Linked DNA regions of Sus scrofa. The protein of the gene in region 1 interacts with the protein of each later gene in a biochemical or structural test. Links are inferred from orthologs where the notes say so. Each region holds a gene or a part of one and is shown on either strand. Other genes may lie near its edges.

Region 1 (3,648 bases):
TTCCCGTCGTGGTGCAGTGGTTAATGAATCTGACTAGGAACCATGAGGTTTCGGGTTCGATCCCTGGCCTCGCTCAGTGGGTTAAGGATCCAGCATTGCCGTGAGCTGTAGTGTGGGTTGCAGATGCGGCTTGGATCCTGCGTTGCTGTGACTCTGGCGTAGGCTGGTGGCTACAGCTTCGATTCGACCCCTAGCCTGGGAACCCCTATATGCCTCAGAGCGGCCCAAGAAATGGCAAAAAGCCAAATAAATAAATAAATAAATAATTATATCTAACTCTCATCAGTTAAGCTCAATGAACAGTCTTGCCTTATTGACCCCTGTTTTCTAGACGTGAACCTGGCCCTGGGGTAACAGTCAGGAGCAGACATCAGCTGGCAGGAGCAGACCTTTCTGCTTTGCCCAATGTAAGAGAAGTACACTCCTGGGTAGGCAGTCAGTATGGAATGTAACTTCCTCGGAAATGCTGAAAGCTCAAAATATCCATAAAGATATGAAACCGTTGGCAACATAAATGAAGTCTCATCTTTTAAAACGTGAAGGTCCTTCTAGGTATTTCCTTTCAAGTATGAAAAAAAGTTAAAAATTCAGCAGCTCTAGAACTATATAGTCCTTGCCACTTAAAAACACAAAAAGACTAGAGAGAGAGTCCATTCTCAACAGCCTCCCTTTCATTTTGCTTTCTCATTAACTAAGGCAGCTCCCTGGGCAGAACTCCCCTCGGCTTAAAAGACAGAACTGCTTTGCTGCTAAATGATGGATCAAAATCCGTCCTGTAACAGTGATTCATTTCATCAGAGCTTTTAACACAAGCTCCCTTCCATCAAGCCAATGGGTTCACAGCCATTGGCAGATTAAATTCCCTTTCTGGCGTGAGTCAAAAAATTTCCTCAACTAAGGATATATAAAAAATGACAACAGTCGAATGACAGAGGTAACCAGATGCCAACCTCTCATTTCATTAACGACTGTCAAGATCAGCAAAAGCCCAGCGACTCGGTACCTTTTTAATGGTATTGTGCTTGCTGCTGGTGCCACCCCGGTCAGAGTTCTCGTTGTGCAGAATATCCAGGGCCGTCTCCCTCTCTTTGAGTTTCAAGGCCTCGATCTCTGTCTTGAGTTCATTGAGCTGTTCCTGCAGATGCTTGCTCTTCTCCATATACTCCACTCTGCCAGCAAGAGGAGAGTGAGTCACGGCTTTGGCCAACTGGGAGACGCACTGTGGCTGAGAGGCTCCAGACCCACAGGCTGCTTGGCCCGGGACCCAGGGTCTGCAGCCTGGGGTTCACGTCTCTGCTTGGCCACTCATGGGCTGTGGGAGCTCGAGCTGGTCACTTAACTGCTCTGTTTCCTCATCCATGAAATAGGGACAATGAGCACAGGGCTATCTATGGTCAGGATTAAACAGAAAGAAGTGTAGGAAAGCCTCAGTAAACTCTCATACCAGTTGTAATGAACAGCAGACAGCTTTTAGTTCTGTCCAAAAAACAACTGGAGAAACAAACCTCCTGACATCCTAATCTCCTTGTCTCAGCCCTTCTTGGAGAGGTGATTTCATTCTGGTGACCTCTTCTGATAGGCCTTGGCCACATCCCTACTTGTTTAGGGACATCATCGCCTAAAGATGACAGAGGCTCACTCAGCCAGCACTAGGGAGAGAAAGACGCTCACCCTCCCCTGCAAGCAGATACTGTATCTGTGTGGGTGAACCCCGAGGGCGTCCAACTGCACGGGCATGGCCAGGCAAACCCTGCGACACAGACCCAGGGGATGCTCCACAGCCATTCCCGTGGCTGGTTATGGACTCTGCCCACGTGCGCACAGGCAATGAGTCAGAAAACACAAGCTGTGAAAGCGGGACACTGAACAGGACACAGCCTCACCCTCATCGCAACCAGGTCACGCTGAGCATGCCTGGGAAACAGTGGAGGGCTGGGGGGAACTCAGACCACGGTGCCACAGAGACGAGGGTCCCCTCTATCCTCAGCGCTCAAGCCCAAAGAGACGGCCTGTGGCTGCCCGTGCTGGGCACTGGGAGGGTCATCCAAGGACATCAAACAAGGTGAGAGCACAGAGTCAGACCGGCGAGGGGCCGGATCCAAGCCTGTTCCTCACCAGCTGTGGGATGCTGGGTGAGTGCCTTAAAGACTCGAAATCTGGGTTCTCATTTACAAATGGGAACACCAAACCTACCTTTGAAGTCGGTTAGTGGGAATGAAATGAGATAAAAGCCGAAGGACACTGTCACCCAGGCACCCAATGCCTGGCAGCTACTGTGACTGAGCCCTGGCCAGCTGTGGCACAAGCTGGCTCATTTATCTTTTTTTTTTTTTTTTTTTCCCCGGTCTTTTTGCCTTTTCTAGGGCTGCTTCTGTGGCATATGGAGGTTCCCAGGCTAGGGGTGGAATCAGAGCTGAAGCCGCTGGCCTACGCCAGAGCCACAGCAACACCAGATCCGAGTTGCGTCTGCAACCTACACCACAGCTCAAGGCAACGCTGGATCCCTAACCCACTGAGCAAGGCCAGGGATCAAACCTGCAACCTCATGGTTCCTAGTTGGATCTGTTAACTACTGTGCCACCCCGGGAACTCCATGGCTCATTTATCTTTGATTAGGGACCTCCTAAGTTGTCCTCTGCCAGGGGGCTCCCTGCCTTCTCAGACCCCCTTCCCTGACCCTAAAGTGAGGGAGGAGAGCAGCTCAGGGCGTGCTGGGGTCAAGCTGGCTGCCGCCCTGGCTGTTTGCTCTTCTCAGCCTGAAGCCTGAGTTCCTTCTCTCTCGCCCTTGTTCTAGACATGGGACCGCCACAGCTCAGCTGCCAGAGAACACAAGTAGGAAACGTGTTCCATCACCAGCTTAGAACACAACCATCATGTTAGCAGCCGTTGGACAGGCTTAGAGACCCCCAACATCCCCTTCTATACTTTAGGTGGGCTTTGGAGCCACTTTAAACTCCAGGTCACTAATCAAGTGTCATTTTTATCCTGGAAGAGTGAATGCTGGCCTGTTGCTCTTCCATTCAGATTAGGAAATTCCTCTTCCAGTGGGTGAGAACGGAGCACACCTTGGCAGGAGTTAGTGACCGGCGGCCCTCCACATCCCCAGGCCCAGATCCACTCATTCTGCTCACCTGCTAGCCATGCAGGATGCAGGGGAGGGGGGGACTACGTACTTTTCTTTCTCTATCTCCATGGAAAGCCGCTTCATGTCCGTATCCTTGAAGTCGAAAGACAGGCTGTCGCCAATGAGGTTGAAGCTTGGTATGTCAGGAGGCAACGGTGCTGGGATGGGGTTCATCGGCTGCGAGAGAGGAATCTCTGATTAGGAGGTTTGGTTTCACAAGACTGGAGGGCCCTGCTGCAACAACCACTGGTCCCTCCAGAGGCCGAAAAGGCTCTGGGCCCAGCGTGCCCACATTGGAAGCAGAGGCAATTAGATTTGTTTTGAAGACTTTCTCCTCCCAGACCAAAGGGTCACCGGAATACAGTCCCAATCTACTTCTCCCACCGTCCCCCCTACAAAATCATAAACCACATCCTTTATTACCCCTGGACCTCTTCACTTCCCATCTCTGTTCCTCTGCTTAAACCACATTGCCTCTCTACACCCCATCTCTCTTTTAAGGCCCTAGAATGTTCTGTCTTCTG
Region 2 (3,648 bases), on another chromosome or scaffold:
ATCTATCCTGTCTGGGAGACCATTCATTAAAAAAACTAACGTCTTCAACTATGTCTTATTTATCTTTGCATCCTTGTGTCCAGGAAGTGAGGGAAAGCTTAGATGCTCCAAAATGTACTCTAAATGCAAAATGTTCCCTATTTAAAAATTTAAATCCTTTTGCTATAAAAGCATTAAAGAAAAGTCAACTCTTGGAGTCCCGTCGTGGCGCAGTGGTTAACGAATCTGACTAGGAACCATGAGGTAGCGGGTTCGATCCCTGGCCTTGCTCAGTGGGTTAAGGATCCGGCGTTGCCGTGGGCTGTGGTGTAGGTTGCAGACGCGGCTCGGATCCCGCGTTGCTGTGGCTCTGGCATAGGCTGGTGGCTGCAGCTCCAATTCAACCCCTAGCCTGGGAACCTCCATATGCCGCGGGAGTGGCCCAAGATATAGCAAAAAGACAAAAAAAAAAAAAAAGAAAAGTCAACTCCTCACATTTTCCTAAAGATTAATATCATTTTGAAATTACATAATTCACGAATAATCTTAAAAATAAAAACTCCAAGGAGAAAAAAAATTAGAAGTGTCCCATTGTAGCTCAGGGGTACCCTGACTAGTACCCAGGAGGATTCAGGTTCAATCCCTGGCCTCACTCCATGGGTTAAGGATCTGGCATTGCTATGAACTATGGCAGCTCCAATCTGACCCTTAGCCTGGGAACTTCCATATGCCACAGGTGTGGTCTTGAAAAAAAAAATTGACCTCTTGTTTCCAGTGATTTTGGAGGGAGCAATACATTATATATCAACCATGACCAGGAGTTCCTATTGTGGCTCAGTAGGTTAAGAACCCAGCATAGTGTCCATGAGGCTGTGAGTTCAATCCCTGGCTTTTCTCAGTGGGTTAAGGACCCCTCATGGTCACGAGCCTCCACATGGGTCACAGAACAGCTAGGATCCCACGTTGCTGTGAACTTCCATATGCCACAGGTGCAGCCACAAAGAAAATAAAGAAAATAAAAAGAAATATTTTTAAAATTAAAAAAAAAATCACGACAAGATCAGCCTAGACGGCCACCTGCTTAAGTGTGGTCACATAACTCACAATCGCACCCTGGAACTGCACCAGCAGGGGGTCTGCCCAGGATGAGAGCTGTCAGGAATGACTGCGAGGCTACTCCGCTGACAGAGTACGAGGTTCTGTCTATGGAGCATCTAAAAGTGCCAAGATTATTTTTTAACAAAATTAATTCAGTGGAAGAAAACTTCTCTAGCCAGAGTCTGGCACTGTATAAACAAGAAGAGTGTGTGGCAGGCTTAAAACTTCAAATACTCAGGGTCATAACTGCCCAGGTTTGAAGAGGAGAGGATGAATGAAATAAACTGCATCAGGGTGCCTTTGAGAAAAACCAAAAAGCCGTTGAAATTATCATCCATGGCAACTAATGGCAAATTTTTAGTTCATCGAGAAAATGAGAGTGTATTAACTTGCCAAGTAAAAGTGAATTTTGCAACTTGTAAAACTGGTTTATTCCATTATTTTATAAAATATGTGTGATCTGCTAATAGCAAAGACATTAAAAAAAATAAAACTTTCTGTTCTTGGTTTACCTTTGCATTGGCCAAAACATTCCTGGGGATAACTGCTTATCCAGGGGGATGGCAAACAAACAAACAAGCAAACAAAATCCCCAAAACAAAAACCCAAATCTTAAGTTTTCTCCCTCACCTCTGGCTAAATCACTACCTCCTGACAAATAATGAACTACTGGGTGTAATCACAAAAACAGAAAAATTAATCCAAAAATAGACTCCCCACTTAAATTCTAAAATGAGAAAGAAAAAGAAAATACACAGACAGACAGACAGACACACACACACACTGTCCTATACTCTTCCTATCACTGTCTTCATAAACACAATGATCCCTTAAATATCCAGTAAATCCCTTCTTGTTTTCAACATATGGGTCAGCAAAGCATAGGATTTCCATTGGAAATGTGAAGGTTGGCTCTCTTCTAGCAGCTGCTGCTTTCCCAGTTAGGATCTGTCATGTCCCATTTTTCAACTAGTAACCCTGCCCCTCCCCCACCATCTTTTGACAATAGGCTCATTAACGCCAAGCCTCTGAAATAGTTTTCTGCTTTTCAAGCACAAACTGTCTTAAATAATTTCTAAGACCTACTGTTTGGACCCAAAGGGATGGGTACACAATCCCACTCTGAAGAGACTTCTGTTTCTCATTTCCTTCTTCTAGCAGAAGACTCTTATAATTCAGCCCATAATTCTCACGTGTCTATCAAATCTATTGGGATAAGTAATGAGATGTAGGTCTGTTGGGCATATTCGGTACAACACCCAGGACCTGTGAACCTATTCAGTGCTAACTGATGTGTTAAACGTTTCTTTTATTGTCTGAAGACATCCTCCAACCAAACCTGGCTTCCAAGTACTTTTTGCTTATACGTTTGCTTTAAGGGTATTCAAGGCTATGAGAACAATGGTTGAACCATAATTTTTAAAATGCTACAAACTCCCATCCTAAATAAAGCTTCTTTTGTTCTAAACACCATAGGCATCTCCCTGAGAGAGAGAAAAAAAAAGAGTATACACTTCTTCTTTTTTTTTTTATGTCCTATCCTCATAGGCCAGTACTAAGACTTGACAATGTTTTAAGAAACCTGAGGTGTCTGCACGTAAATAACAGCATCGAAGCCCTCCCCAAGTTACCCAGAGCTTAAAAACAGAAAGAACACTCATGGAATTCAATGTAGACCGTCTGAGCTATTGCCTTTCCTCCAAAGAGTACAAGAGTTGCTTTCCTACAATGCACTGAGGAACGGAATGTGAAAAAGAATCTGGATACATCAAAGATCATCATGGAAAAAAAGGATTCCAAAGATCATTGCACTCGTCACGCTTTCTTTCCAGATCTCACTACCAAGCACCGAAAGAACACACTCTTCATCATACTTGTCCGTAAAAACACACGAATTACCCAAGTGGAACCTCTGCAAATCTTTAACACAAAAACCCCATCTCACATATTTTTAAACACTTTGGCCTTTGGGGCAACCTGACACATGATCATTTTTCTTCCCATTTTTAAAGAAACTATATGCATATTTGGCAGCTTTTCATGCTCTGGGCATAAAAGAAATCACGCGTGGAAATAGAAGATGCAGCCAATGTCTACCAGAAAGTCTTCCCAATTTGACTTCACTAACTCTTCTAAACCAGAACTGCCGACCGCCATCCTTCTTACTTGTGCTTGTAGGATGCTGGGTCTCCTCTTCGTCATGATTCTCATGGTGACTGAGAGAAGAGTGTGGGTCCCAGGTCCAGTTCTCTCCATGAGCACTGGTGCCACTTCTGTCCATATCTGTCGTGATGACGGTTAAATACATGGTGACTTTATCAACCAATGTTTGATGGTTCTGTTCTTCCATTAAAGGACATGCCATCTCAATAGTACCTCTGAGCATCTCCTCTGAATCCTTTTGAGTGACTTCACTAATCTCTCCCAAGAGAAAACCAACAGACATGGAATTTCTTAACCATTACCTATTATTCCACTATAACCACTTTGTCCAGGGCAGCACTGCAAACCATTTTAACATGCTCATTTTGACAGTGAAGCAACAAAATATCTTGTGCCCAGATGATATAA

What was found.
Region 2: the proteins of NF2 (region 1) and CD44 form a complex in vitro, tested with the Homo sapiens proteins (2 studies listed by BioGRID, with this or other methods). The link is inferred for Sus scrofa from reciprocal best matches to the Homo sapiens genes NF2 and CD44.

Annotation. Positions count from the first base shown.
Region 1 is NC_010456.5:46,709,286-46,712,933, reverse strand, and holds part of NF2 (merlin), read right to left. Parts: intron 3,302-3,648; coding exon 3,174-3,301; intron 1,170-3,173; coding exon 1,004-1,169; intron 1-1,003. UniProt on the Homo sapiens protein: Probable regulator of the Hippo/SWH (Sav/Wts/Hpo) signaling pathway, a signaling pathway that plays a pivotal role in tumor suppression by restricting proliferation and promoting apoptosis.
Region 2 is NC_010444.4:25,821,602-25,825,249, forward strand, and holds part of CD44 (CD44 antigen), read right to left. Parts: intron 3,361-3,648; coding exon 3,244-3,360; intron 1-3,243. UniProt on the Homo sapiens protein: Cell-surface receptor that plays a role in cell-cell interactions, cell adhesion and migration, helping them to sense and respond to changes in the tissue microenvironment.